Linked DNA regions of Mus musculus. Each later gene encodes a partner of the first gene's protein in a complex. Links are inferred from orthologs where the notes say so. Each region holds a gene or a part of one and is shown on either strand. Other genes may lie near its edges. The genes, in order: Rbm15b, Cbll1, Virma, Mettl3 and Zc3h13.

Region 1 (6,685 bases):
TGACTCTGGTGCCTCTTGGGGAGGCTAGGGGTGTGTCTGCTCTGCTCAGCCTGGAGCTGTCCTTTGTGCTGGCATGTAGGAAGCCCTCGGGGAACTGGAGCTATGTTCCTTCTCTAAACCACATAGGCTGTCTGCACTGTGTGTCTTATGGTGGCTACTGACAGCCTGAGGTGGCCTTCCTGGTGAAGACTGTCATCTCAATCTTGGGCGCAGTGTGCATTTGTCTTCCCGGCCGCACGTAGGGCTGGACATCCTAAGGATGGTTTGACGTGCAGCACAGTTGGGCCTGCAGCCTCTCCTGCCCAGCCATTTACTCTCCTGCTCTCCCTGCAGACAAGCAGATTGACCTGAGCACAGTGGACCTGAAGAAGCTCCGGGTGAAAGAGCTGAAGAAGATCCTGGACGACTGGGGGGAGATGTGCAAAGGCTGTGCAGAAAAGTCTGACTATATCCGGAAGATAAATGAACTGATGCCTAAATACGCCCCCAAGGCAGCCAGCGCACGGACTGATCTGTAGTCTGCCCAATTCCTGCTGCACCTGAAGGGGAAAAAGCAGTTTATCTGTCTCTTCCCCAAATAACCATTTTGTAATTTATTTTTTAAGCGGGCTCCTGACAATGAGATGTGAACCTAGAGCTTTCCTAGTGATGCTGGCTCTGCAGTTCCCTCTTGCCCATCCCCGAGTGGGGACAATTTCCCCATCCCCAAGTGGGGACAATTTACTTCCTTCTTTGCTGGTTTACTCTAGGACTTCAAAGTTTGTCTGGGATTTTTTTATTAAAAAAAATTGTCTTTGGAGAGTTGAGCTGGCACAGTATTCTGTCCTATAGATTACTGGTTTATCTTTCCAGTCTGAAAAGATCCCTCAGCCTGCCAGTGCTGAGGGCCTGAAACTCCCATAACAGGACTTAAGAGCTTGGGCAGCCAATGTCTTGTGGGTTTGGGCTTCTGGGTGTCTGATACTTCAGCCTGGTGAGGTTAGACTTGACCCCTGACCCCCACCCCCATCCAGTCCAGTAGCAGGGGCTGAAGGTTCTTGAGCTGCTGTTAAGTCTAAAGGACATTTACATTTGGCTCAGCCTATGCAGAAGGAGAACTGTGAGCTGAGTACAGGTGGTCAGACCATAGCGTATCTTTACCCCGCCTGGTACTTAAACTATTCATTCATCGGGGTTCCAGTCTAGCATCAGAACAAGGACCCTTGCTTACCTATATTTTTGGCAAAGTTGGCAGGAATCGGTTTACAAAGAAGCAGTGTGAGCTGGTTGTAGTGGAAGGCCTGAGGGAGTTGTGTGCACTGTGGTTTTCAGTTGCTCCCTTTGCTGGCACTTGTGAACTGTGCCTCAGTGGGGAAACTTTGCTCCTGCTGCCTCCAGAGATAATGAGAAAGGAGCAACTGCTAAGAAGTTATGTTTTCCAAAAGGCTCGTCTTAGCTATCTTCTTGTGTGGTCCCCAAATTCACTTTGCATTCGCAGGGCCTTACATGAAGCCCTCTGCTGTTTCTTCCAAGTTCCTCCTGCACTTTCTCCTCCTGCTGGTTGCTTTCTGCTTATGGGAGGAGGGAAGAGCTGGGTGCGTTCTTCGACATCCTACAGATGCATCAATGATCCAGCAACCGTCTGTGGAGAGCATAAGCCCTAGGGGCCTTTGAGTACTCTTGCCGGTACTTCACCTCATCTCCTGGATGTGGTCAGAACACTGGCCAGCAGTCTGTCAACTTGGCAAGAAGTGATAATGGCATTACCTGCTCTTTACCCTTGGCTCAGCAGCCCCACCTTCCCAGCCTCCTGTCCGCCCAGACACCTACAGCAGAAATTTGGACCCAGTGGCACCAAGATGCCTGTCTGTAGGTTGCAAACGCATTCTAGTTTCTGTACCTGGACCCCGGGGAGGTCTCACCTGTGTCTATCAGGACAGTGCCTGAAGAATTCGAATGCATAAGATGCCTGGATGTGGGTCCTAGGCAGGGTGTAGGCATCCTTGTGTGTCTATTTTCAAGGGGGCCAACTCTGGTCCTAATCAGAAAACTCCATGGAAGGAAATAGAGTTTCTTCAATCTAGTGGCAGGTTGGAGTGGGACGCGCAACACTTGGCTTCGGGCCAAGCGGCCACACCTGCTCCGGTGGGCGTGGCCCCGAGGCGGAAAAAGATAGGCGGACCCGGAGTAGCAAGCAAGCCCTGGAGCACAAAGCGAAAGCGCAGCCGCGGCCTGCCGAGCTCGAGAGGGAATCTGCGCGCGACCCAGGAGCCGGGTGCCTGGGCTCCGGCAGCCACGCGGCGGCGCCAAAGCTCGCAAGACAGGCCGCTTCCTCTGGTTGCCAAGATGTCACGTGGTGCGGGGCCACGGAGCTCCGTGATAGGCAGCGAGCGAAACTCTCGGCCCGCCCACCGCGGTCACGTGTCGCGGCCGGCGCAGCTTGATAACGCAGCGCCGGGCCCCTCGGCGCCGCTCCCGCCCCGCCCCGCCGCCGCCGCCGCGCCGAGTCCTTTTGTCCAAGATGGCGGCGCCGGGGGCGCTGCCTCCTGGGCCGCCGCCGCCGCCGCTCTGAGGGACCCGCGGGCCGCCCGCCCGCCCGCCGAACCGGCGCGATGAAGCGGCAGAGCGAGCGAGACTCCAGCCCGAGCGGGCGTGGCTCGTCATCGTCCGCCAAGCGGCCGCGGGAGCGCGAACGAGAGGCAGAGGCGGGCGGGCGGCGGGCAGCGCACAAGGCCTCCGGCGGTACCAAGCACCCGGTCCCGGCGCGGGCTCGCGACAAGCCCCGCGGCAGCGGCGGAGGCGGCGGGCATCGCGACGGGCGCGCTGCCGGGGATGCGAATCACCGGGCGAGCGGCGGGCGCTCCTCGGGCGCGCCCGGAGGCGGGGGACGCACCGGCAAGGCCTCCGGGGACCCGGGTGCTGGCGGCGCGTCGCCCCGCGCATCTCCACTCCCGCCGCCCCCGCCGCCCCCCGGGGCGGAACCCGCGGGTCCGGGCTCCACCGCGGCTCCGGAGTACAAGACGCTCCTCATCAGCAGCCTGAGCCCCGCGCTGCCGGCCGAGCACTTGGAGGACCGGCTCTTCCACCAGTTCAAGCGGTTCGGGGAGATCAGCCTGCGCCTGTCACACACCCCGGAGCTGGGCCGCGTGGCCTACGTGAACTTCCGGCACCCACAGGACGCGCGGGAGGCTCGCCAGCACGCCTTGGCCCGGCAGCTGCTGCTCTACGATCGCCCGCTCAAGGTGGAGCCGGTGTACCTGCGCGGCGGCGGGAGCAGCCGGCGCAGTAGCAGCAGCAGCGCCGCCGCCTCCACGCCGCCCCCCGGGCCTCCCGCGCCCGCCGACCCCCTGGGCTATCTGCCCCTGCACGGTGGCTACCAGTACAAGCAGCGCTCGCTGTCTCCGGTAGCCGCCCCGCCCCTGCGGGAGCCCCGCGCGCGGCACGCCGCCGCAGCCTTCGCCCTGGATGCTGCTGCCGCGGCGGCCGTGGGACTGTCTCGAGAGCGAGCCCTGGACTATTACGGGCTGTACGACGACCGCGGCCGCCCGTACGGCTACCAGGCCGTGTGCGAGGAGGACCTGATGCCGGAGGATGATCAGAGAGCCACTCGAAACCTCTTCATCGGCAACCTGGACCACAGTGTTTCTGAGGTGGAGCTTCGACGGGCCTTCGAGAAGTACGGCATCATCGAGGAGGTGGTCATCAAGAGGCCTGCCCGCGGCCAGGGTGGTGCCTATGCCTTCCTCAAGTTTCAGAATCTGGACATGGCACACAGGGCGAAGGTGGCTATGTCTGGCCGGGTGATTGGCAGAAACCCCATAAAGATAGGCTACGGCAAGGCTAACCCCACCACCCGCCTCTGGGTGGGTGGTCTCGGACCTAACACCTCGCTGGCGGCCCTGGCCAGGGAATTCGATCGCTTCGGGAGCATTCGGACCATCGATCACGTCAAAGGAGACAGCTTTGCCTACATCCAGTACGAGAGCCTGGACGCAGCCCAGGCTGCCTGTGCTAAAATGAGGGGCTTCCCCTTGGGTGGTCCAGATCGCAGGCTCCGGGTGGATTTTGCCAAAGCCGAGGAGACTCGCTATCCCCAGCAGTACCAGCCCTCACCTCTCCCTGTGCACTATGAGCTGCTCACTGACGGATATACCCGGCATCGGAACTTGGATGCTGACCTTAGGGTGCGGGATAGGACCCCTCCACACCTTCTGTATTCAGACCGAGACCGGACCTTTTTGGAAGGGGACTGGACCAGCCTCAGTAAAAGTTCAGACCGCAGAAACAGCCTGGAGGGCTATAGCCGCTCAGTTCGCAGCCGGAGTGGTGAGCGCTGGGGGGGTGATGGGGACCGGAGCATAGCCAAGCCCTGGGAAGAGAGACGCAAGCGGAGGAGCCTCTCCAGTGACCGTGGGAGGACAACTCACTCCCCTTACGAGGAACGCAGCAGGACCAAGGGTGGGGGGCAGCAGTCTGAGCGAGGCTCAGATCGCACCCCTGAGCGTAGCCGCAAGGAGAACCACTCCAGTGAAGGGACCAAGGAGTCAGGCAGCAACTCCCTCAGCAACAGCAGACATGGTGCTGAGGAGAGGAGCCACCATCACCACCACCATGAGGCTCCAGACTCTTCCCATGGGAAAAAGACTAGAGAGAGTGAACGCAATCATCGGACCACTGAGGCAGAGCCCAAGACTCTTGAAGAGCCAAAACACGAGACCAAAAAGCTAAAGACTCTGTCAGAATATGCCCAGACACTGCAGCTGGGTTGGAATGGGCTTCTGGTGTTGAAAAACAGCTGCTTTCCGACATCTATGCACATCCTTGAGGGGGACCAGGGAGTTATCAGTGGCCTCCTCAAAGACCATCCTTCTGGCAGCAAGCTGACCCAGCTAAAGATTGCCCAGCGCCTTCGACTGGATCAGCCCAAGCTGGACGAGGTCACCCGGCGAATCAAGCAGGGGAGCCCTAATGGCTATGCTGTGCTCCTGGCCATCCAGTCAACCCCCAGCGGGCCTGGCGCCGAGGGCATGCCCGTGGTGGAGCCAGGCCTACAGAGGCGGCTTCTCAGGAACCTAGTCTCCTACTTGAAACAGAAGCAGGCTGCAGGGGTGATCAGCTTGCCGGTGGGTGGGTCTAAGGGCAGAGACAACACAGGCATGCTCTATGCCTTCCCGCCCTGCGACTTTTCACAGCAGTACCTCCAGTCAGCGCTGCGGACATTGGGCAAGTTAGAGGAAGAACACATGGTGATAGTTATAGTAAGGGACACCGCCTAGCCCGCACCTGTGCTTTCCAGCTGTGTTTGTGTCACAGAAGCAGTTATTTTAAAGATCTGCTCCTTCTCCACCTACCTTCTCCCTTGGTTTGAATTCTCTGCTGGGTTTTTGTGGTTCATTTGGTGGCATCCTGTCTACTGCTAAAACTAAGTTCTTAGATTTGGGGGGAATTTTTGTTTTTTTATAAGAAGAAACTTATGTTTCCCGTGTATGAGATTCTGTCTGCTGTATTCTGTATTTTTTTATATTTTATTTTATTTTTTTGACTAACTGTATGGAAAATTGTCAGTAAAGCCTTTGTCAGAGGATGAATTTTTAATCCCGCCAGAGTCCTGGTTTAATCAGGTTTTTTCGTAAAGAATGGAAGGCTTCACTCAGAGCATGCCGTATGTCATGTTTTTGTCACCACTGCTTCTAAAAGTTGTGCTGTGCTGGTCCTGCGCAGCTCTTTGTGCTATCGGGGCCCAGCTCACACTTGTCAAACTTAGCTGCTGGCCAGCAGGCTTACAAGGCATGGTCCCTGTTTATACTAGCCGAAAGCTGAGCCCGTTCAGAGGAAAGGCCTGGGCCTAAGACCTGTGCCAACAGCTACAGGTAGTTTTGTTGTTTTTCCCTGCCCTAAGTGTGTGCTTTAGTTTGGGCGATGGCTGTTGGACAGAGCACCCAATTATAAAAGCCTGTTTAATGGAGGGTAGTTTTCAGTTGTGTAGTCTTGCATTTGGGGGGAGGAACAGTGCAATATTGATGCAAACGGCCGTGGGCATGACGTGCCCAGGCTCCCCCTGGTTCCGTCTTTTAGTCTTACTGTGTAGTTTAGGGTCTCCCCTATCAGTCATCTGCCTGACTGCCAGGGGTCTTGGAGGTAAGATGTTGGCAGGCAGGGTAAGCGGCAGCCAGACTTGTTAACTCTTCAATGTGCTTCCTTCGCTCTCAGGGCTATGTCAGAGCAGCCTGTGCTGCAGTCAAACTTCAAGCTTTGTGGCAAACAGACCCCCCAACTACACTGCTCAGTCTGCAAGGGTGTCAGTGCCAGGAAGATGCCCTTGATGAGTGACATAGTGTTCCGTGTTGTGACCCAGACCTGAGGTAAGAAAATAGAGAAAAGTCACAGTTGTGATGGACTAGAGCCCAAATCCACATCAGCTTTGGTATGAAGGAACCAGACTGATAAGTCCTATGTCTGGGATGGGAAAGTGACTAGGCCCTGCCTTTGTGGTCTCTCAAGTAGAAAGCCAGATCAGGCAACAACGGTTGTCACCACAGATCACAGTCAGGCTCACAATGTGACGGCTTGGTAGTCCAAACCAGTCAGGCTGAGGAGAATGGAACCCTGGTTAGAGGTTCTAGCCAGGCCAGTGCTTCAGGTCTGGCCTACCCTGAGCCAGCACCTGTGACCCCTGGGCTCTGAGATGGACCTTGAAGGCTGTATG
Region 2 (6,019 bases), on another chromosome or scaffold:
AGTTTAGTTCTATCCCTTTTTAAGCGCCCTTCCCCTGGTATTGCACAGAGCATTACATTAAAAGTAAAATTTGTTTTCACGGTCCTCTATAAAACTGATGCTAGTGCCCCTTAAAAAAAAATCTTTCAAGTAAGCTGGGTGGTAGTAGTGAATGCTTTTAATCCCAACACTCCAGAGACAGAGGCAGGTAGATCTCTGAGTTCAAGGCCAGTCTGGTCTACAGGGCAAGTTCCAGGACAGACAGGGCTACACAGAAAAATCTTGTCTAGAAAAACCAAAAATAAAATATAGTTTTACCCAGGTGAGGTGGCACATGGCTGAAATCCCAGCACTTAGGAAGCTGAGACAAGAGGATTAATGTTTGAGGACAGACCCTGTCTCAAACAAATGAGTAGTCCTAGATGTTTAGTCTGTAGATATCCTACAATTTATTTTACTTTCTTGTAGATACTTGTTTTGCCGTAATTGTGTTGTAATGTGAATATTAAAAATTTGACTTGAGAAGATGGCCAAATTCTTGAAATGGGTGAGGGTAATTGCCCTAAGCCTGGTGACCCAAGTTTCATCCTAGAACCATTTAAAAGGAAGGAGAGAACTGACCTCCACCCACCACTCTCCATATGTGCAGACCCCTCCCTCCATATCATGTACACAACAAATGACTGTTTTTAAAGACTTGATTTGTACATTTCAGAATATATCAGATCTTGCTAAATTCTTCAGAAAGGGTGTGGTATAGTTTCTACTCACATACTCAGTATTTTGCACTATTAATTTAACTTTTTTTGAGGCAGAACTTGGATAGCCATTCTGCTCTTGAAGGTCAAAAGTCTTGCTGCCTCGGCCTTGTCAGTGCTGTGGTCACAGGCAGGAGCCTAAGTGTGGTTGGATGCCTTTTCATAGTGCTCGCCAGTTCTTGCCTCAGTTCCAGGCTCTGTTTTGATTGCTGCCTTTCTCTTAATTTTGAATTCTTTATAATATTGGCTTTGTTAAATGTCTGTGTAGTTCATTTATCTTTTGAACTTTGTATATAAAATATTACTGTAAAGAACTTGGACATTCTAGGAAGCCAGTTAAACTAGAGCTTGCTCTCTCCTGTTTTTAATATATTCTTTAAAAGGCCTTTCCTAGTTTCATGAATATAAAAACCGCTTCCTGTCTTGCCATCTGTTAGAAGTCAGCAAGCTGGTCTACAGGCCAAGTTTGGTTCCTTTAAAATAGATAAAGTTGCTGTTCAGTTAAGAGTATTGCCTTGTGGCTATTTTCCTACTAGCGTGGCAGAATTAACTAGATTTATATGACCAAGAAAGCCTAAGTTTTGTACTGTGGCCTTTTATAGTAACAGATTGTTGGCCCATACTTTAGAATATTTATGGGTGTGTTTTGTTTTTTTTTTAAGTGATGTTTTGTTTACCATAAATACTGAGTAATTGGTTTTTTAATTCCAGAATAGAAATCTGGCTGTTAACATACATTCAAGTTCTAGAAGATCTGTCTTACTCCTAAATTCTGTTCCGTAAACAACATGGTGATAATTGGTGAGGTTTTATATTAGAGGTGGTTAGTGGAGTTGCTAAGAGCATTGAATAAGAGACTCGGTTATAGGTCTGTTCTTGGCTCTGGCACGTGGCTTATATGGTGGCTGCTGTACCCACAGTATGTTGTCATTTGTAAAGTACTAGAGATGGACTCAATGATCATGAAGACTACTTCCAGCCGGCATTTTAAACTCTAGTTTAAAAATGATATGCCAGTTAATTTCTGTGACAAATGTGAGTTGTCTATTAAAATCTGTGGGAAAACGGTAAGTAAAATTAAGGCCTGGTGTTGTAGAGGTAGGACTCTAGAATACTTTTACTACGTTTTTTATAACTAGTTTTATATACAAAACTCTAAGGGAAGTTTTATAATAACATGAATTTAATATAGGTTTAGTTTTTTGTTTTTGTTTTTTTATTGTTTTAGAGTAGTTTTAGGAATTTTGATTTTCATGTTTTTAGATCTCTGAAAGTTATCAGAAACATTTTTCAGTAAATATATATACTTTTAATTTTGTTATGTAAATAAATATACTTTAAATTGAAATTTGAAGTTGGAAAATGTAATGTAACTTTTTTCTCTCAGAAGGATTTGATTATAACGAAGAACAGCGATATGACTGTAAAGGAGGCGAACTCTTTGGGAATCAGCGAAGATTTCCAGGACACCTTTTTTGGGATTTCAAGGTATAACTAAAAGTGAAAAATTAGAAATTAGGCATTAAGTACTTATCCACTAAGTGTGGATTTTTAGTATGTCGTGACGTGTAGCACACATAAGTCCACTTGCTTGTTTTTACCATCTTCAAAAATAATTTGAATGCTGGGCGGTGGTGACTCACGTCTTTAATCCCAGCACTTGGGAGGCAGAGGCAGGCGGATTTCTGAGTTCCAGGACAGCCAGGGATACACAGAGAAACCCTGTCTCAGAAAAAAAAAAACCAAACAAACAAACAAAAAAATAAATAAATAAAATAATTTGAAGTAATTTTTGGTAGAACCAAGTAAAATCATTAGCTGCTATTTAAGAAGAAGAACAAGCAAATGGAATTATACTAATCACTTTTTACTTCTGTTTATGGTAACAACTTAAGAAATTCTAACCATTTCACTGTGTGAATTGAAAAGTACAGTTGCCTAAAGAGATAATTTTAATTATCACTTCAACAGATAAACATCTTAGGTGAAAAGGACGATACACCAGTACATTTCTGTGACAAATGTGGACTGCCTATTAAAGTCTATGGGAGAATGGTAAGGACAACTAAGATTTTTTTTAATAACTAATTTTATAACATAATAATGTACAAAAAAGCTAGGGGGAGTTTAATAATACCATGAATTTAGTATAATTATTCTTTTTACTGTTTTAAAATAGTTTCAGGAGAAACATGGTAAGATAAAACACATTTAGAGTTCTTTTTCAGGAGCTTTTTACTTGCAGGGACTATTTTAGCATTGATAGGTTCACGTATCTGAAAATAGAAGCAGGTACCAGGCAAGGGGGGATAGTCTTCTAGTCCCAGCATTCTGGAAGTTGAGGCAGAAGGATCGTAAGATCAAGGGTTGCCTTGGGTACATCAGAGTGTAAGGCAATCTGAGCGGAACATGAGATCCTTCTCCACAAAGAAAAAGCAGTGTGTTAGCAGATGGACAGATGGACATGTATTTATTGGAAAAAGAGCCAAAGTTTTCAAAACATTTTCAAAAACTTGTGATTAAAAATGGTTGCTGGGCAGTGATGGAGCATGCCACCCACTTTAATGCCTCATTTAATCCCAGCACTCAGAAGGCAGAGATAAGTGAATTGTTCCAAGACAGCCAAGGCTAAGCAGAGAAACCCTGCCTTGAAAAACCAGATAGATAGATAGATAGATAATCCCAGCACTCAGAAGGCAGAGATAAGTGAATTGTTCCAAGACAGCCAAGGCTAAGCAGAGAAACCCTGCCTTGAAAAACCAGATAGATAGATAGATAGATAGATAGATAGATAGATAGACAGACAGACAGACAGACAGACAGACAGACAGACAGACAGACTCCCTCCCTCCCTCCCTCCCTCCCTCCCTCCCTCCCTCCCTCCTAGCTGCTTCTGGTATATAGTCTTAATAAGTTTTCATTTAACTCCTATGTGCCTCCTGTTGGTAGATCACTGTACTGACAATTAGTATTGAAAATTTCTAATTTGTTCTAGGATGCTTAACTATGATATTTTTGCCTACAGATTCCATGCAAGCATGTCTTTTGCTATGACTGTGCTATTTTACATGAAAAAAAAGGAGATAAGATGTGCCCAGGGTAAGATATGATCATCTTTAGATGTTCTAGTAGTAGTGGCTTATAAGCAAGATGGGTTAAAGGTTTTGGAGTAATGGGACTAGACAAGGATGCAAACGTGCTGGCTGAGCCACTCTGTGTGAACCTGGAGTTAGTTTTCCCCTTCTCTGGAAGATGGAGCTAGCCATTGTCAGTTCATTCAGAGTAGCTGAAATGATGACATCTCTGGGAACAGTGTTGGACAGCAGAGCGGTTTCTTGTTTTCTCTTTTGTGTGTGTCTGGCATACCTGGAAGCAAGTATAGCGTGGTTTGCTGATTGAGAACAACCTCTTTCCAAAGTGAGAATTAACATCTTTTATTATTAATTGTATGTGAATAATGTGGCGGGTGGTATGAGCATGTGCCAGGGTCAGAAGGCAACTTGGTGGAGTAGTTCTCTCCTTCCAACTTCACCTATGCTCAGGGGATGGAACTTAGAAGAGCAGGCTTGCATAGAAAGCACTTTACCTGCTGAGCTGTCTCACTGGCCCCAGGATTAGAATGGTTGAGGTCAGGTCCCCATTTGACTATTGATCAGCTGTGTGGTACAAGTGGCTTTATAGCTATCGGCTCCCTGTATTCTTTTTAAGATGAAGTAAGGATTAATGAACAGTAGAATTGGCATATAATAAACACTACTATTCCTGTTTTCCAATAACCCAAACAGGTGTGTTTTGGGTGATAACGACATCATGATAGACTCGAAGTTATACATCATGGTATCTGTCTTGGGATAGCTCTATAATAAAGTGAAAATTTATATTAATTTGGAACCCCTGATAAGAAAGCCTTGAGAAAAATGGAGTGAAACTTTGGATTAGCTCAAGGGTTTCCAGATCCTCTAAACCTAAAATTGAAAGTACCCCAAGGAACACCATTGATTGTTAACAAAACTATAAACAACTGTAAGAAAAGATTTCCCCTCTGTGGTGCAGGATATGGGCTTTGCTAAGAAAAAAAGGGGGTGATTTGTTAATGACCCAATGACAACTGATTTTCTTGGTATATTTCATTAGGTTTTTAAAGTTATAGATTATGAAATATATACTGTGTTTAAAAGATACTACTATATGTTCTATAGAGTTATAATTCAGAAGAATATAAAATTTGGAAGTATATATTGTAGCCTTTGTTGAAGTATTTCTCTAATGCCTTTCCCAGCCCAGTGTTGTGCATTAGCTTAATATAACATGTGATTGTTCCATTAAGATAAAGAATTAAAATGTAATGCAACATTAAATGTAGTGAACATTAAAAGATTCTCTCTTTTACATAGATTTTTTTTTTAATTTATTTACCTATATTTTATGTGCATAGGTGTTCTGCCTGCATGCCTGTCTGTGTGAGAGTGTCAGATCTTGGAGTTAACAGACAGTTGTGAGCTGCCATGTGGGTGCTGGGATTTGAACCCAGGTCCTCTGGAAGAGCATTCAGTGCCCTTAACTGCCAAGCCATATCTCCAGCCCATAGAGGTTTCACTATTACTATTTAAAAGTGCAATTTAGTTTTCAGGTAACTAAATGTGTTCTAGTATGCACTTCACCAGTGTAGTCTTTAGCTATCTAGAGAGAAACCTGTCTTAATTGTCAAACCAAGGGCAGGAAATAAAGTTACCAACCAGAATTAATTTAAATAGTATATGCTACTGCTTTTGGGCATCATGCAAAAGAAAAGACCTTACCCTATTTAGCATGGATATGTTTCTGACTGTGTAGTAATTAGATGGCTGAAAAGCAAGAAATGTGCAAAGTGGCCACAAATTAGAAGCACCCTAGCTCCTACAAGGAAAAGAGACAACTCCCTGGTTGTAAATGATAGATCCTTTGCTTTGTCATTCTTCTATGTAAATCATACTATAGTTAGAGAATATTAATGAGCTGTAAGTATTGGGAAATAGAAGGTCTCTTAAGAAATTCTATTTTGGTGTTTAGAGTTCTGAGGTAAAAATAGTCTCTGGTTGGTAGAGATGTTGATGATTAGTTTCTGATACAAATAGAAAATGTTAGAGGTCCACTAACAGTAATTCAATACTCACTGTTAACTTTGCAAGTATATTATATTTTAAATTAAAGCTTAAATTAAATGTGCTGTTTGTGTTTTGGCTTTAGTAAATCATTTTTTTCTTCCTGTTTAGATGTAGTGATCCTGTGCAGCGGATTGAGCA
Region 3 (6,019 bases), on another chromosome or scaffold:
GTGGACAGGCTGACTCGACTTACAGTGTGTCTGGGCTGTCAGAGAGTCAGATTCCTAGAGATTCAGCTTTCATGAGTGTGTTACTAAGGGTGAGCAAGAGAGGGCTGGAGCAATTTTCTAGGAACATTTCAGGGGGTCTGTCTTTTTAAAAATTTAAAATTAATTAATTTACTTCACGACCCATTATCACCTTCCCTCTCCTCCCAGCACCCCTCATGCAAGTCTTCCCCCTATTCCAGGTGAGAATATTCTTGTTCTCAAGAGAGAAGCGGGAATCTCCCCTCTGGATGTCACTCCTCACTATCACCCCGCCCCCTGCACATCAAGTTGCTGCAGAACTAGGTGCATCCTCTCCCTCTGAGGTTAGACAAGGTGGTCCATTTAGGGGTTCGAGATCCACAGGCAGGCAGGCTACAGGCTCCGTGGCAGCCCCTGCTTTAGTTGTTAGGAGACCTGCATGAAGCTGCTCCTCTGCCACATGTGTGCAGGGATCTAGGTCCAGCCCGGGCTTGCTCTAGGTTGGTAATTCAGTCTCTGGGAGCCCCCAAGGGCTAGTTGATTCTGTTGGTCTTCCTGTGGAGGCCCTGTCCTCAAGTCCCTTCTCCCAACTCCCTTTTCCTGAGCTCCATCTAATGTTTAGGTGCAAGTCTCTGTATCTCTTTCTATTGGCTCCTAGATGGAGCCTCTCAGAGGACAGTTATGCTAGGTTCCTATCTGCAAATATAACATATCATTAATAGTGTCAGTGATTGGTTCTTGCCTGTGAGATGGATCTCAATTTAGGGCAGTCATTGGTTGGCCATTCCCTCATTCTCTGCTCAGTCTTTGTATTTCTGCACATCTTGTAGGCAAGACACATTTTGGGTCAAAGGTTTTGTGGGTGGGTTGCTGTCCTTTCTTATTGGGGTATCGTTATACATTTTTACTTTTTTATAAGTAGGCAGTCATACCAATGTCTTTGGTTTTAGTTCTGTTTTGATACAGAGGGGAAAAAAGCTGTTCTTATATTGTGATTAACAAAAGAGGCTTAGTCCTGGCTGTCCTGGAACTCACTCTGTAGACCAGGCTGGCCTCGAACTCAGAAATCTGCCTGCCTCTGCCTGCCGAGTGCTGGGATTAAAGGCGTGTGCTACCACGCCCGGCCTTTTTTTTTTTTTTTTTTAAGACAGGGTTTCTCTGTGTAGCCCTGGCTGTCTTAGAGCTCATTCTGTAGACCAGGCTGTCAGGCTGTCTCCAGGAAACAAGATACACTTGCCTCCACATCCTAAGTATTGGAGGTAAAGGGGTTTGACACCATGCTCAGCTCAATAGTTTATTTTTAATTCTGTGTATGGATAAGTTCATGTGAGTGTAGCTTCTCAAAGAGGCCAGAAGAGGGCATTGAATCCCTGGGCTGGCGTCCAGCTGCTGTGAGCCCCTGATATCGGTGCTGGAAACTGAGCTAGCTCGTCTGGAAATGATCCTTGAGCATCAGTTCAGCCCCATACAGGTTTGTTTGTTTGTTTTTGTGAAAATACTTCATCTTGTAATTACAGTATTCTCTTTCCTTTTGTCTTTGCATGTATGTGTCTATATGTTGTGTGTTGAAGAATGTGCCGGGCGTGGTGGCGCACCCCTTTAATCCCAGCACTCAGGAGGCAGAGACAGGTGAATATCTGAGTTCGAGGCCAGCCTGGTCTACAGAGTGAGTTCCAGGACAGCCAGGGCTACACAGAGAAACCCTGTCTCGAAAAACAAAAAAACAAACAAACAAAAAGAATAGGCACATGTGTGCGTGTCAAGCTCAGGTGTCAGTCCTTGTCTTCTACCTTGAGAAAGGGCCTCTTGTTTAAAGCTGCATACTCCAGGCCAACCAGCCGGCACACTTTAGGGATGTTGTTGTGCTCACATCCTGTCTTGATGAAGGAACACTGAGGTCCACCTGATGTGGGCTCTGGAGTTCATTCTGAGCTCAGATTCTGAGACTTGGATGGAAGCACTTTAACCACTTGGCCCCCCACCCCCTCCTGTCGGTCGGTTTGTCTGTGTGTGTCATTGTGTCAGAAGTTAACTCAGTTAGGTGTCTTCCTATATCACTTTTTTTTTTAGAATTATTTATTGTCTTATGTATATGAGTACACTGTAGCTGACTTCAGACACACTAGAAGAAGGCATGGGATCCCATTACAGATGGTTGTGAGCCACCATGTGGTTGCTGGGAGTTGAACTCGACCTCTGGAAGAACAGCCAGTGCTCTTAACCACTGAGCCATCTCTACAGTGCCCCTATATCATTTTCTTACCTTATATTTTAAAACATGGTCTCTGAGTGAACCTGGAGCTCACTGTTTGGCTAGGCTGTCTGGCTATCTACCTCTAAGATCCACCTGTCTCTGCTCCCATTGCCCTCAAGTGGTGGGGTCATAGATGCATTTTACTGCACCCTAACATTTACATGGGTTCTGGATACCCAGACTCTGGTGTTCATTCTTACACGTCTTCATTTGAACCTCCCCATCCTCTACTCTGGTTTTCTCCATGGGTGCGGGGATATCCGAACCCAGAGTTTATGCTTGAGTGCTAGACCCTTTACCAACTGAGCCTTCTCCTCAGCCTCCCTCACTCTCTTCTTTTGAGGTAGTCTTTTATTTTGTGTGTAGAGGTATTTTGTTGCCTGCATGCATGTCTGAGTACCAAATGTGTACAGTGTCCACAAAGGATGGACATAAGTTCATAAGGTATCAGACCCTTAGAACAGGATGGTTGTGAGCCACCATGTAGGTACTGGAAATGAGACTTGGGCACTGTGGAAGAGCAGCAAGTATTGCTAACCTTTGAGCCATATCTCTAGCCCCGAGACACTGTTGATGTTCAGGCTGGCCTGGCACTCAGTGCAGTCTCCTGTCCTTTGAGTGTTGGGATTACAGGCACTGGGCACCATGCCTGGCTTGTAATGCTCTGACTTAGCTTTACCATGGTTTTTTTTTGTTTTGTTTTTTTGTTTTTTTAAATTCTTAAACATAAGCTTGAGCTGGGCATGGTGGCACACACCTTTAATCATAGCACCAGAAGGTAGAGGCAGACAAATCTCTGTGAATTCCAGGTCAGTATAGTTTACATGATGAGACTGTCTCAAATAAATAAAGAAATAGAAATAAATAAATAGAATTAAATTAAATCTTGAGCTTGCGATAGTTCATTAGGTAAAGGCTTTTTCTGCCAAACCTGATGACCTGATTTCTGTCCCCAGGACCTGCATGCAGAAGGAGCTGACTGTTCATGCTAGTTGTCCTCTGAGCTGCATACATGTGCTGTGACACATGTCCCCCAAGCCCAATAAATAGAAAAGTTTATTTTAAAAAATCTCTGAAGAGGCTCGTGAGATGGCTCACTGGTTAAGAATATGAACTGCTTCTTGAAAGGACCTAAGTTCAGTTCCCAGAATCTCCATAGGACAGCTCAGAATTGCCTGTAACTTTAGCCCATGGGCACCTGATACTTCTGGCCTCCCTGCAAACTCGTGTGCGCATATTCATACATAGACACCTGCAAAATCAAAAATAATTTAAAAAGTTAAATGTTTCAGAAGGTTAAGCTTTATATTTTCCCTTCTAAGAGAATTTGTTTTTGTTGTTTTGAATTTCTAATTCTATTTCTGTCAGGAAAAGGTGTCATCACAGAATTAATTATAACAGTAATTAATTAGTAAGCTTATCCATAATTATCCTATTACAGAGTGTAAGTATTGTCAATTCTTGTTATGGGGGGAGCAAAAGTTGAATTTTTTTTTTTTTGAGGAAATCAGTCATTCAAAGTTCAGATGCATGGTTTACCATGAACCAGGGTGTTTGTTGGTCAGTCAGCATTATACAGTCATAAGAGTGATATAGGGCTCAGATACTGTTTAAACTTATTTTCAGGGGACGATGGCTACGAGCAGATCTCTAGTGATGAAGATGGAATTGCTGACTTGGAACGTGAAACATTCAAGTATCCAAACTTCGATGTTGAGTATACTCCAGAAGACCTGGCATCTGTCCCTCCTATGACGTATGACCCGTATGACAGGGAGCTGGCACCACTCTTGTATTTCAGCTGTCCATACAAAACTACTTTTGAAATTGAAATCAGTAGAATGAAGGATCAAGGTCCAGATAAAGAGAATTCAGGGGCAGTAGAAGCCTCGGTGAAGTTAACTGAACTGCTAGACCTGTATCAGGAAGACAGGGGTGCAAAGTGGGTGACGGCTCTAGAAGAAATTCCAAGTCTAATTATAAAAGGATTAAGCTATTTGCAATTGAAAAACACAGAACAAGACTCCCTTGGCCAGTTGGTAGACTGGACAATGCAAGCTTTAAATTTACAAGTAGCCTTTCGACAGCCCATAGCCTTAAATGTCCGACAGCTCAAAGCTGGGACCAAGCTAGTGACCTCATTAGCAGAATGTGGGGCTCCAGGAGTCACAGAATTGCTACAAGCAGGAGTGATCAATGTATTGTTTGATCTCTTATTTGCTGATCATGTCTCATCTTCCCTTAAGTTAAATGCTTTTAAAGCTTTGGACAGTGTCATTAGCATGACAGAAGGAATGGAGGCTTTTTTAAGAAGCACCCAAAATGAGAAAAGTGGCTATCAAAGACTTCTGGAACTCATACTTCTGGATCAGACTGTGAGGGTTGTCACTGCTGGCTCAGCTATTCTTCAAAAATGCCATTTCTATGAAATCTTGTCAGAGATTAAAAGACTTGGTGACCACATAGCAGAGAAGACTTCAGCTGTTCCTAACCACAGTGAGCCTGACCAGGACACAGATGCTGTGCTGGAGAGAGCAAATCCCGATTATGAGAATGAAGTAGAAGCTTCTATGGACATGGATCTTTTGGAGTCCTCAATTATAAGTGAAGGTGAAATAGAAAAGCTTACTAATCTCTTAGAGGAGGTTTTTCATGTCATGGAAACTGCACCTCATACAATGACCCAACCTCCTGTCAAGTCTTTCCCCACAATAGCCCGGATTACCGGGCCTCCAGAGCGGGATGACCCGTACCCTGTCCTCTTTAGGTAAGGTATACTTGGCTTTTGGATCACAAATCATTGGAGGGAGTTTTATGTTGTGACTTTGATTTTTTTCTGTTCATATGCAGTACATAATTATGTAAGGATAGTTGATATCTCAAAATAGGTATTCAGCAGCAAACTTAGAGATACATTACTGTTTGAGTGAGCCTGCATGTGTTGGTATATAAAGCAGAGTTAGGAATATAGGTGCTAGTGAACAATAACAATGCTTGTTTGAGTTGTCTGTAAGTAAAACAAAGGTAAAGCAGCCGACCTCCTGGGATGTGGTAGAAGAGGCTGGCACAGGAAGGAGAGGCTCTCTGTAAAACCTTGGTTCCTGACCACTCCTGTCCATCATAAGTTATGATGCAATTTTGTTCCCCTGACAGTGTGTCTTTGGTGTCATCACTTGCTTCTGTCATCAGTCTTAGTTACGTGATAGTAGAATTTTGCCTTTGTTAGTATTCAGCGAAGAACTAGGATCAGGAAGCATGCGAGGTTGACATGGTTTCTCCTAGCCTGTAATAGTAGGTGATGAAGTATGGATGAGCGGGGGTGGAGGATGTGACAGCAGCTCTTCCAGCCCACCTGAGGGTGCAGGGCCTGGGGATACAGCTCAGTTGGTAGGTGTTGTCTAGCTCACAGAAGCCCTGGATTCTATCCTTAGCGTGTAGTTCCAGCACTCAGGAGGAGGAGGAGGAGGAGGAGGAGGCAGGAAGATCACGAGTATTATGTCATCCTTGGCTGTATAGTGCGTTTGAGACCAGCATGGGCTATGTGAGAACCTTTTAAAATACAAAATGAGGAAGTAAGGCAACATCAGACAGACATGTTGTGGACAAAATGGAACCTTTTATTTCATTTTTCTGGAATGGGAAAGCACGTTTATAGACTGGAAGAATGGCAGATTTAAAAACTAATAAGGAGGGAGAAATGGAGGAAGAGCTCAATTGCTGGAGCAGGGTTTGCTAGGAGAAGAGGCT
Region 4 (6,019 bases), on another chromosome or scaffold:
ATGGCTCAGTGGGTAAGAGCACCCGACTGCTCTTCCAAAGGTCCGGAGTTCAAATCCCAGCAACCACATGGTGGCTCACAACCATCTGTAACAAGATCTGACGCCCTCTTCTGGAGCGTCTGAAGACAGCTATAGTGTACTTACACATAATAAATAAATCTTTAAAAAAAAAAAGATGGAAGGGTTAAACAATTTATCTGCCCACATTTTCATATTTTTTCCTTCAAAATGTCACATGTATTATAAATAACAGAAGCATTCATTGCTGTTGGGGCAACAGTGAAAAAAGATGAAGCAGCAGCATCTAATCTGAAAGACCTCATTTTTCTAAATCAGGAATCCCAAGTATTAGTGCTAAAAACATCAAACCCCTCAGAAGAGGCAGGCATCCTAAGTGACATTTAATCAAATGCCTGAGAAACCCAGGACTTTACCCAGTTTTCACTCTGCTGTATTTCCCATACCTACATATCTGGATTATATTACCTTCCTGTGACCCAGAGGAAAAGAAAGCCGTCATCCTGTAGCACTGGTATATTGAGCCTGCGCATCTCATCATCTGTTAATGTCCCATACGGTAGCTCCATGTGAATATCCCAAGGTGGGTCAGCCATCACAACTGCAAATTTGCCCAAGATACTGACGTCCAGGTAGCGGATATCACAACAGATCCACTGCAGGAGGTAGTATTTGGTCATCTTTCCTTCTTTCACAGATTTCACAGTCCCAAACCCTCTACCTCAAGCATTCCTATCCCATTGTGCTCCCATCAGTAAGCCAGATTGCTAAATTATTCCCTATTTTTCTACATATATGGATACCCCACCCAGTTTAAGTATATAGCTTAGAATAGGTTGTCCCGGGCTGTGTGGACATGTAGGTACCTGAGGTGGAAAGAGTCGATCAGCACTGGAGTCACCCCCAACACTCTGTGTAAGAGCAAGCTCCTGGCTTGGCATATGCTCCTTGCTGCCAGGACTCTCAGAATCAACACAAGCATCAATTTCATAGTGAACATATTTGCAGGTGTCCATGTGGAAACATGTGTTAAGGAAAGAGCAGTCACCTAAAGATTCATCAGTGTGCTTATTGATAATTCGTCTGGGAAAATAAAAAAAAGGGAATCAGAATCAAGATGGTACTTCAAAAGTAGATCATACAATTCAAAATTTCTTGTTCTCCCCCAATTTTCTGCATTGTTAAACTAAAGGACTTTCGTTCTCCTGACTAAAGACTTGATCTGGGGGCAGCGGCTTAGGCCTATAATCCTAGCACTGATAACCAGAGCCTGAAAATCAGAAAGCCCATCCTCAGCGTGCCCAGCCGGAGCTCTGAAACCTTGTCTCAAAGACAACAGAATACAGACTTTCTTCTCTTACTAAAGGGAAGGATATCGTCCAGGAAGGCCTCCTTACTCCAGAGTAAACACCGGCCCTACGCCCAGGTTCCTGACTTCTCCTAGGACTCTCTGCCTTCCAGACTTTAACTTTCATTGTTACTCAGATCCAGATGCTTGGCTAGAAAATCTTCCTTTTACTTGCAAGTGAGCCTGTACTCCTTCTCATGCAGTAGCCATTCCAAAGGCAGGAAGAATATGCTGCAAAGGAACTGCTGCTCCTGCGGAACCCTCCCCACCTCATTCCCTCCCAAGAGACCTGAAGTGCAGCTTGCGACAAGGCCGGTCAGCGTCACTGGCTTTCATGCACTCTTCCTTGGTCCCATAATCACAAAATTCTTGCACCTGGGCCCGACCTCGAGAGCGAAACTTTTCAACAATGGACTGTTCCTTGGCTGTTGTGGTATTTAATAGCTCTAGGATCTCCTGACTGACCTGTGACAGAAGTAGCCTTGGTCTTAAGGGTTTGTAGATAAATTAGCCCTTAAACTGACTGCCTCCATAAGTCTAATCACTTAATGTCTAATGAGGAATATATGAATGAACAATGTAGCAGAGTTGTTATAGGCTCAGTCCTCCTCACAAGCATTTAGAATGTAATTCAAATGCAAAGAGCCTGGTTTCTACAACTAAGCAGTAAGCCGATCTTACCTCCCTAAAAGAGTGTAACTTCCCCTCAAAAAAGCTAATTTGGATTGATTAGACAACTAAGAAAGGCACAGCACTAGTCTTCTATTGCTTAGCTCACTCTATTCAATAGTTCTGTAAAGAACAACTCTGGTTATCGTCATCGAAGACCAAACTAACATTTTAAAACTAAACTAGAAATTGGGAACAAGTAAGAATTTAATATAGTTCAAATCAGAACCATTGTACTGATAATTTCATCAACTTATATAACTTGGTCCAAATGAGTACTTATTTAAATTTCTGTTTTCTGAATCCTCTTTTGAGAATTCTTCCAGATTCTGTAAATAAGGACTTCCTCGAAACGGCATTATTGATATTTTAAGACTAGACAGTTTCATCTGGGGAAGGAGGAGTGGGGAGGGGTCCTACTATACATTGTAGCATGTTTCACAAAAGTTTCAGCCCCCACCTTCCAGATCCTCTCTCTATTGAGTGCCAACAGCACTCTACCATACTGTGATAACACTGGACACAGAAACCACCGAACGTGGGGTAGAGGTAATGGTAGAAGAAATCATCCCCATTGAGAAACACTGCTCTACGTCTCAATTCTACGAAATACTCCTTGTGCAAACAGTAACAAATCAGAACTGTAACTAAGGAATGTGAGCGTGTTCGCGTGGTCCCTACCTTCTTGCTCTGCTGTTCTTTCGTTGACTGTTGGTTCAAAAGGCTTTCTATCTCCAGATCAACATCGGAGGCAGCGTGCTTCCTTGACTTCTTAGCCGGCTCCTTAGCTGGTTCTGATGCTGAAGAGGCCAGACCAGATGCTAAAGAGCTGGCAAAGGTGGTCACTGTAGTCAAATCCTGTTCTGCACGCCGTTTCTGCCCTGCGATGGTCCCTGCTACCTCTCCAAGACCTTTCTTTTCTGCCACAGCCCCCATCATGGCAGACAGCTTGGAGTGGTCAGCGTAAGTTACAAGAGTAGGATGTGCATCATCTTGGAGGAGACCTCGCTTTACCTCAATCAACTCCTGGGCGGCAAATTTCTGGAGAAGGCTTTCTACCCCATCTTGAGTGGCAGGTGCATCTGGCTAAAGAAAGGAGAAGACGATAAGACACCATGAACAAAAGCAAACTCGGGATAAATTCCAATTTCATCAGGTGATTACCGTAGAGATGGCAAGACGGATGGAAACAGCATCAGTGGGCAAGGTCAAGGCCAGATCTGAGAGGTGGTGTAGCAACTTCTTCTCTAACTCAGGGTCTGTAGCTAGTTCAGGGGCCACAGATGTTGTGCTGGGCTTAGGGCCGCTAGAGGTAGGGGCAGTAGGCACGGGACTATCACTACGGAAGGTTGGGGACAGTGCCGCTTCTGGGTTCCTTAAATCTACAAGGAAGAAAATAAAGTGGAAAGGGTCAGTCCAGTCAGTGTTCACGTTCCTCGGGGTTCAACTGTCCAGCATCGCTAGCACACACATCTTTCACTTCAAGCAGGGTCTCTGACCAGCGTTAGCTCTAGATCACCTTTCATTCACATGGCAGCACTTGCTGTTTTGCCAAAATAATCCTGGATTTTCCAGAGAACTACTCACCGTTTCTCTGTTGGGGGAGCAATCTTTCCCTGATTCTCTGCCCTCACTGCTTCAAAGGAAGTAATGTAGCATGGTACATTTACAGGCAGGTCTCTGCCACCTTCTCCTCCTCTCAAATGATACAATAAACCCATACTTTAACTAAAATTTACAAACAAAAAAAGAGTATTTTCAATAATCAAAACTGGGATCTCAGCACTTGGGAGGCAGAGGCAGGTGGATTTCTGAGTTGAGGCCAGCCTGGTCTACAGTGTGAGAGTTCCGGGACAGCCAGGGTTATACAGAGAAACCCTGTCTCAAAAAATGAAAAAAAAAAAAAAAAAAAAAAAAAAACCAAAAAAAAACAAAACAAAAACCCAAACAAACAAAAACCCTGGGATGTGATTATGTTTCCCAGGGATGGATCTGAAATTTTAATGAAACATGGCTATTGGCCATGGAGAATATGCTTCATAAACATAAACACCAGGCCCTTGGAATACTTGGCCAAAGGCCTGATCAGCAAATGATGGTCCCAGCATATTCCCACTATATGATCTTACTCCACCACTGTACACATGAAAAGGTCATGGAAGCACAGTAAAGGTTTGGATGGTTTAAAATAATTGGCCTTAGCTAAAAGTATACAAAGAAATGTAAGTAATAATTGCTACATAGCACACTTACAACAGTGTTAAGAGAAATACTTGCCTTCAGCAGGACTGTGCTGGTGGATATTAGACTCTTGGAATTCAGAGATCCTACAAGTCTAATAAATGTGAACTAAAACAGAGGCATACACTAGGAGCAAATCCTGAACTTTCTTATTGAAGTTATAAATTTGAAGTACCAAAAATTTACTTTCAATGAGCAAATATGCACGATGATAAAAGCCACTGTAACAAGGAAACACGAGCTCTTTTCAAAAAGGAATTCAGATTCTATTAACAAACGTAAGTGTTAAAGTGTTTTCTTGATTCAAAGTATGCCAAGGGGGCTAATGTATAAGTTGTGGAAGCCAGGCCTGTAAGCTTGGGAGGCTAAGGCAGGAAGGATCACAGAAGCTTTGGGCTACAGAGTAATTCATGTCTAAGTCTAGACAGTTTAGCAAACCTTTCTCAAAATAATACATTTAAAAAGGCAGCCGGGCATAGAAGCACATTGCCTTTTAGTCCCAGGCAAGCGGAGGCAGGCAGTTAGCTCTGAGTTTGAGGCCAGCTTGGTGTATATAGTAAGTTCCAGACCAGCCAGAGTTACATGGTGAGACATTTTCCCCTCCCCTTAAAAAAAAAAAAAAAAAAAAAGGATTTTTTTGATAGGGACTATAAAAGTATAGGTGGGGTTTTTTTTTGTTTGTTTTTTGTAGCTCTGGCTGTCCTGGAACTCACTATGTAGTCCAAAAGTCTGCCTCGCTTTGTCTCCCAAGTGCTGGAACTGAAGGCATATACCACCACAACTATCCTATTATTGGTAAGTTGTAAGTCAAATTATATCACTACTTTGTCATGGAGATGCCTGATTTTTTTCACAGGGTCTTACTATTTAGTCCAGGCTGGTCTGGAACCTACTATGTAACCCAGTACAGCCTCAAACTCTGCTGCCTTAGCCTCCTAAGTACTGAGATTACAGGTATGAACTATCATGCCTGGCCTTGTTTGTCTGAGATAGGATCTACTTAGCCCACGCTAACCTAAAAATTTCTAACCTCCTGATGGGGTTATAGGCATGTAATGCCATGCCTAGCTTGTTAGGTAGATTTTGAAATGGTTTTAAGTCATATATTAACCATTTCCCCATTTATACTCAATTATGTGGCCAAGGCTGAAAAGATGGCTCAATGGTTAAAATGCTTGCTGTTCAAACCTGGGGTTTGGTCCCCAGAACATATATGGTGGCTGACAACTATTTGTAATCCAGTTTCATGGGATCCAAAGATTTCTTCTGGCTTTGAAGGGTATTGGGCACACATGTGGGGCACATAATTCCGTGAAGGCAAAACACTTACATAAAAAACAAACAAACATGTGTGCCAAGCACTGTGTAATACAATCCTATTCCTACAAATGTTTATTTTGTTAATCAAAACTCCAGGCAATTCTTTTTTATTGTTGTTGTTTTGTTTTTCAAGACAAGGTTTCTCTGTATAGCCCCAGCCATCCTGAAATTTGCTCTGTAGACCAGGCTAGCCTTTGACTCTGCCTCCTAAGTGCAAACTAAGATTTGTATGTGCGCCACCACCACCCAACATGGCAATTCTTATTATACATTGACTTTGTAGGGTTTTTTTTTTTTTTTTGTCTAGCCCAATTTAATGAGCATACTTTGGGAAAGCTGTCCATGACCAAAACAAATGTTAGTAAATAAGTCTTAAATTCTTGAGTGTTTTCCATGATTTCAAACTTCTAATTAAAGCCAAAG
Region 5 (6,019 bases), on another chromosome or scaffold:
GGTCTCAAGCTGAAGACCCTCCCCCTCCCCCTGAGCAGAGCTCACAGGCTACAGAAGAGTTCACCAGGTCCACCTACTGCTGATGTCCTCAACACCGAGAAATCTGAACACTCACAATTCCCTCTGCAGATGGATCAATTAAGCCATTCATAATGAATCATTAAATGTCACAATGTGTCATATGGTCCATTAATTATCTGTACTCTGAATTACAAGATATAAGGCTCTAAACAATTCTTGTTGAGATTGTTCAGGGCTTTTGAGTTGCTACTGTATCTGAGGGACACAACAGTATATTAGGGAGGAACCAAGAAGTACCATAAAATATATTTTACACAAAGTGGTCAGTATCCTGAAGATTAGAATCAGCCATAATATGATGCAAATGTAATTAAAACTGAAATAATAATAGGATAATGGTGACTATTGCTATACGTACATGCTTAGAGATGGGGGATGGTAATACTCAAGAGAAATGCTGAGTTGAGAAAGGCTGCCAGGACAGACAGCACCCGGCAGCAGAATGAGACATTAAGGACACGCAGGACAGGGACAGCAAGGGATGATTATTGTAGTGTTCAAAAGCCATTTTCAACCAGGACTTTATGTGGGAAAGATAAGATAGACAGAGGAGACAGAGAGACAGAGACAGACAGACAGAAGGAGGGGGGAGGAGACAGTGAGATAGAGACAGAGACAGAGAAGGAAGGAGGGAGGAAGGAAGAGAAGGAGAGAAGGCGGGAGACAAACAGAGGGAGAAGGAGAACAGAAGGGGAGAGATGAAGAGGGAGAGGGAAAGGGAGAGAGAACACACAGAAGCCAGAAGAGGGTGCTCCCCTGGAGTTAGAGTGATGTAGGTGGTTGTGAGCCACCTAACATGGTGCTGGGAACTGAACCCCAGCCCCCTGGGAAAGCAGTAAGTGCTCTTAACCACTGAGCCAGCTCTCCAGCCACATAGACTTGACTTTCTAAAAGGTCTCCCATCGCGCCTATCTGTGTTCATTTTAATCTTTAGAGAGGGTTTATATCTTTTGTTTTATAAATTTAATCTCCTCAAATCTCTTTTTCTTTATAGAAATTTAATAGGAAGAGAATCAATGTTTTCCTGTGGACTCCTGTAGAATCTTAGTGCTTTCTAACATTACTGGCCAGCTTCTTTTGTCACATGTCCTCCACACTCACCTACAGCCCCAGTTTCCAACTTTAAAAAGCCCAAGCCTCTCATGAGATCCTTTTCTGATGTTTAATCACCTTCATTACTCTGTAGTAAATACTGACACACGCTCTGACATACAGTCTGCTTCATTACTCTGTAGTAAATACTGACACACGCTCTGACATACAGTCTGCTTATCTTAAGGAGCCTTGCTCACAGGTAAAACAGCTCACAGAATGAATGGACTTTTGTGCATGAAGTTTGGAATGACAATTATTCACAACAACCACTCATGTGAGGTCTTCCTGTATGTGCCTGGGAGACGAGGAAAGCAAATTCACAGAACAGTTAAGATGAAAAATATACTATTCCTACCAACCACTGCGCGGTACCTTTTCGTTCTTCACAAGCTGCTTCCGGATTGCAGAGTCCCGTCTGAAACATAATGCTTTACAACATGGTCCCAGGTCACTAAGAAGACTTGCTCGCTCTTCTTTTCGAAGTAAAGCAGCCATGTTGAGAGCCCCTAGTTCATGTTCGAAAAGGCTGTCTGCATCTTTCAATCAAAACAAGCATACGTTAAGTTTCCCTAATAGCGAAGTGTCACCATTGACTTAACTGAATACTCCAAGAACCTCTCCTTTACTAAACCAGAGTGAATGACTTGACAAGGCAAGCAGCAATGGTCCCCATGAACGGACCTTCAACACACAGGTACCTTGTTCATCTTAATAAGAACAATAATGTGATGTTATTTTAAATTTAAGATGTGCCAAAAGCAGACTTCAGAGGGAGAATGAGTCCACTGACTACTGACTTGGGAGAAAGGTCAAGCAAGAGCATTTAAGTCAAACTCAAGGGTCTGGCCTAGAAGTAAATCCCACTTACAGTCCTACATCTCAGGACAGCTCTACAGCAAGATTCAAACACAGTCACAGCAGAGACAGTGGCCTCTGGAACCCCTGCTGTGAGCACAGCTAGGTGTTAGCCAGACGCCTCAGACACATGGGACAATGTGCTAAGACACAATAACATGGTTTTCGATCAAACTATGTAAGGGAAAGAGAAAACACTTAGCTTGACATACACACTGACACATAGACAGATAGACGCATGTGTGCATGTACACACACAGACACATACACACACACAGAAATTTTTATTAAAAAATTAGGATGGGATAAAGTAGACAGAAAAACAGGGGTTAGAGGAGTTTTTTTTCGCAAGGCCATAGATCTAACCAAAGTGAAAAGAATGTGGTAAGAACCTTCAGATCATTTTTCAGGTTACAAAATGTTCACAATTACAATATTAGTAGTCTTAATAAGAAATTTTACTGATTATGGGACTAGGAAAAAGGACACAGGTTCATGACACTTTTAAAATAATACCCCCCCCAACCAAAAAACAAACAAAAAACCAAAACAAACGTAGTAAGTAATGGTGCCTTCACTTTTCTCCCTCCCCTGATTCAAGCATCGGCTCAGCCTCTTGTTGATAAAAGTTCTAGTAAGCTACAAAAGGACATCAGAACAAACCACCCATATCCATACATTAAAAGATTCAGTTCTGCTAAAAGTTGTAATCAGGTGAAATACTTTCTGACTAAACACTAACAGTCAAAGCACAGCACTACTCTGTCCCAGGCACTGTTCGCAGTGTCCTACCTGTACTAACTAGGCTGCTCTTCACTGCAGTCCAAAGACCTTGGTGGTGTAAGTACTCCAACTCCAACTCACAGGAACAGATAGGGACTAGGTGACAGGCAGGGCCTGGATCACAGACCAGTGACCCTACCCACCGAGCTAAACCATTCTGTTAAAGGCTTAACTTAGACTTTGCCCTTGGGTACATCCTCTGCTTGTTACCAGGTGAAAGGTTGTGAAGTCATCCATTATTTGCTTAGGAAAAAAAAAAAAAAGAAAAAACCTACAACATCATGAAGTGCTTTGTTTAGCCCTGGGCAAAGCTGTATATTCTGACACCTGAACTTCTGTGTTAGAAAGCAATTTTCTCTTTCTGTGGTGCTGCAATCGAGTCTAATGCCTCCTGCTTACACTCAGTCACTGAGGCAACCCTCCAGCCTTCAAAAACATTTTTGATACAGAAAGTTCATTTTCTTATTTTTCTAATGTTTTTGTCAGAATTAAGCTTTTCTTGAACTTAAGAAATAATATCAATAACTCCTTAAAACTGATCCTGGAGCACAAGTTCTGAAGACAACCAAATGGAGCCCTTCCCAAGACCACACTAACAATCATAGCATGTGACACAGTGAAGGCAAAGGAAGTCACCTTTGGGTTTTTCTACAAGTTGTTGACATGTTTCTTTAACTTTGGTAAAGAGCTCAGAACCAGCCAACTTTTTAGAAATCCCAACTCGTAGCAGAACAGCTCCAGGCGTGAACTTTAAGAGTGCAGCCCCAGGCTCTCTCGGTTCTTTCGGGTGCTTTGGCATTAGTCCAGACCAGTCCACATCTATTACATCTAATGGATCTGTAAAACAGTTAAAGAAGGGAAGAACAGGACTTAATCCCAGCACTCGGGAGGCAGAGGCAGGTGGATTTCTGAGTTCGAGGCCTACCTGGTCTACAGAGTGAGTTCCAGGTCAGCCAGGGCTACACAGAGAAACCCTGTCTTGAAAAAACAAAAAAACAAAAAAGAAGAACCTTTCCATTCTTAGCCGGGCGTGGTGCCGCACGCCTTTAATCCCAGCACTTGGGAGGCAGAGGCAGGTGGATTTCTGAGTTCGAGGCCAGCCTGGTCTACAGAGTGAGTTCCAGGACAGCCAGGGCTACACAGAGAAACCTTGTCTCGAAAAACCAAAAAAAAAAAAAAGAAATGGTTGTCTGAGGCTGCCGAGATGGCTCATCAGGTAAAGGTGCCTGCAGTCTGATTCTTGGAACCCACATGGAAGACAGAGAACTGCCTAGGAAAAGCTGTCTCTCTGAGTGCCACACATGCTCAGCCAAAAAAAAGGTAAGTTATTGAATGTAAAAGGGTAACACAGTGACTAGTCACACAAAGCAGACAAGCTACTGAAGACGTGTGACAAATTACATCTATAAGTTAGGAAATAAAAGGTCAAATGAAATAAGAATAGTATAATGATCCAGACCAAGCCAAGTAACTCCCTATCGTAAGAACAACAAGAAAACAAAACAACAACAGGCAATGCCTATAACCTGGGGCTTGGGGAGGTGCAGGCAGGAGAGTGAGAAGTCACTGTCAATTATACAGGGGGTTTGAAGTCAGCTTGGAGTGACTACATGAGATCCTGTCTCAAACACTAAAATAAACGGTCAGGAGTGTTGCGTCCTAGTACTCACTCCAGTGAGCCGGGCAATGTACACAGACAGCACGGTAAGGACAACAGTCACGGAATGGACACATTTCAGAAAAGGAACTATATCAGCTGTGTTCAAACAAACTTCAGCTACCTCTATTTTTGAAAGTTGTTTAAAAAGTTGACTGAGCCCACCGCAGTTGTGAAGTCTTGCATCGCATGCCTGCCATGGTGGACACTGGCAAGCAGCTGGGATGTGCTGAGGTTCTGGGTGAGATAATATGAATCTGAAACTCTGGAAAAGAACTCTTACAATTCTGCTCTTCCCTAGGACACGCTTCCACAGGGAGTGCCAATTAAGAATAGAGACGCACACACTGTACCATTCTTTTAATGGGAAGAGCTAAGTGCCCCTTACCACCTCTTACGGCAGAACAGAACCAAGCACGCATTCCCCCCCCCCCCCCCCCCCCCCCCCGCACTTCTGAGCTCTGCCGTGCGTTACCTGGCATCTTCTCTTCTTCCTGCTGGTCCTCTCTCTTTTCTGCATCCCCTGCCAGAATTTCATCTAGCTCGTCATCACTGATGGGCTCATATCCTTCCCCAGCACCAGATCCTAATGAATGTGCATCATCTAACTTGGATTCATCATCTCCTGCTAAACAAAGAAGTTCATGTCAAAAATAAATAAATAAAAACCAAAAGGAAATTATAAAAACTAAAAGTGTAATTAAAAGGCACTGGGCACAATAATAAGCCATAAAAAAGTTTGTTTTTTTGTTTTAACCAGAAACCTACATTGCTTAGTCAAACACTTGATACATTAACCTGAAAATTTTTACTAGTCACATTCTTAATATTAACAATATAGCAGCAATATACAAACGTGCTGTGAGGCCACAATTAAAGTATTAGAAATAATGTTGAGCAGGTCGCTATACTGACAGCTCATCCATGTGCACACTCGATTGTGCCACTTCACCCTGCCTCCCTTGTTCCCCTTCCTTCTGCTGGAGCTCTTCCTCAACACGCTCCCTCCTACTCCGTGTCTTCCTTTTGTCTGTTAATTTTCAATAATAACACCTGAACATAAGAAAATCTAATTCCTAAAGGCTATAGTAATTTTTTACCCAAATAAACTCATTTTAAAAACTTGCAAACCTATTTTAAACTACAGTATCAGCTCAAATCTTAGTCTATGATATTTAGCTCATTATATGAGCTTTTTAACTGTGAGCACAGATGTGAAAATGCATTTAATTTCTACTACCTCTCTATTCCACTTCTGTCTCAATGTTTTCCTTACTGAATAAAATTTTTGGAAGAATGCTGTAATCTACTACCAAAGTGTCTTGTTGCCATCAGTAGTATAAATCCTATTTTGTTATTTTATCGACTTTCCCCGGCTATTCCCTGGCTAAGCTTTTATTTCCTGCTGAGTTAGTTGTAAACCCAGTCCCCAAACTATAAATACGCTTAATTATTTCTAAGCTACATATTTTATGGATCTATAACCCTTGTTTTCAAACTGTAACAACAGGCTCATGGGTATTCATCTGCAGCATAAAAAGTTTGAGG

Evidence for each region.
Region 2: Rbm15b (region 1) and Cbll1 share a complex: the UniProt entries of both Homo sapiens proteins name them as parts of the WMM complex. The link is inferred for Mus musculus from reciprocal best matches to the Homo sapiens genes RBM15B and CBLL1.
Region 3: Rbm15b (region 1) and Virma share a complex: the UniProt entries of both Homo sapiens proteins name them as parts of the WMM complex. The link is inferred for Mus musculus from reciprocal best matches to the Homo sapiens genes RBM15B and VIRMA.
Region 4: Rbm15b (region 1) and Mettl3 share a complex: the UniProt entries of both Homo sapiens proteins name them as parts of the WMM complex. The link is inferred for Mus musculus from reciprocal best matches to the Homo sapiens genes RBM15B and METTL3.
Region 5: Rbm15b (region 1) and Zc3h13 share a complex: the UniProt entries of both Homo sapiens proteins name them as parts of the WMM complex. The link is inferred for Mus musculus from reciprocal best matches to the Homo sapiens genes RBM15B and ZC3H13.

Annotation. Positions count from the first base shown.
Region 1 is NC_000075.6:106,882,874-106,889,558, reverse strand, and holds the start of Rbm15b (putative RNA-binding protein 15B), read left to right. Parts: upstream 1-2,483; 5' UTR 2,484-2,591; coding exon 2,592-5,255; 3' UTR 5,256-6,685. Other genes in the region: Manf (mesencephalic astrocyte-derived neurotrophic factor precursor), read left to right, coding at 334-518. UniProt on the Homo sapiens protein: RNA-binding protein that acts as a key regulator of N6-methyladenosine (m6A) methylation of RNAs, thereby regulating different processes, such as alternative splicing of mRNAs and X chromosome inactivation mediated by Xist RNA.
Region 2 is NC_000078.6:31,488,285-31,494,303, reverse strand, and holds part of Cbll1 (E3 ubiquitin-protein ligase Hakai), read left to right. Parts: intron 1-2,124; coding exon 2,125-2,225; intron 2,226-2,708; coding exon 2,709-2,792; intron 2,793-3,762; coding exon 3,763-3,836; intron 3,837-5,989; coding exon 5,990-6,019. UniProt on the Homo sapiens protein: E3 ubiquitin-protein ligase that mediates ubiquitination of several tyrosine-phosphorylated Src substrates, including CDH1, CTTN and DOK1. Targets CDH1 for endocytosis and degradation.
Region 3 is NC_000070.6:11,509,130-11,515,148, forward strand, and holds part of Virma (protein virilizer homolog), read left to right. Parts: intron 1-3,898; coding exon 3,899-5,039; intron 5,040-6,019. UniProt on the Homo sapiens protein: Associated component of the WMM complex, a complex that mediates N6-methyladenosine (m6A) methylation of RNAs, a modification that plays a role in the efficiency of mRNA splicing and RNA processing.
Region 4 is NC_000080.6:52,296,985-52,303,003, forward strand, and holds part of Mettl3 (N6-adenosine-methyltransferase subunit METTL3), read right to left. Parts: intron 3,418-6,019; coding exon 3,200-3,417; intron 3,122-3,199; coding exon 2,717-3,121; intron 1,832-2,716; coding exon 1,656-1,831; intron 1,102-1,655; coding exon 885-1,101; intron 675-884; coding exon 487-674; intron 1-486. UniProt on the Homo sapiens protein: The METTL3-METTL14 heterodimer forms a N6-methyltransferase complex that methylates adenosine residues at the N(6) position of some RNAs and regulates various processes such as the circadian clock, differentiation of embryonic and hematopoietic stem cells, cortical neurogenesis, response to DNA damage, differentiation of T-cells and primary miRNA processing.
Region 5 is NC_000080.6:75,335,002-75,341,020, reverse strand, and holds part of Zc3h13 (zinc finger CCCH domain-containing protein 13), read right to left. Parts: intron 5,100-6,019; coding exon 4,947-5,099; intron 3,652-4,946; coding exon 3,451-3,651; intron 1,713-3,450; coding exon 1,549-1,712; coding exon of another isoform or gene 1,532-1,548; intron 1-1,531. UniProt on the Homo sapiens protein: Associated component of the WMM complex, a complex that mediates N6-methyladenosine (m6A) methylation of RNAs, a modification that plays a role in the efficiency of mRNA splicing and RNA processing.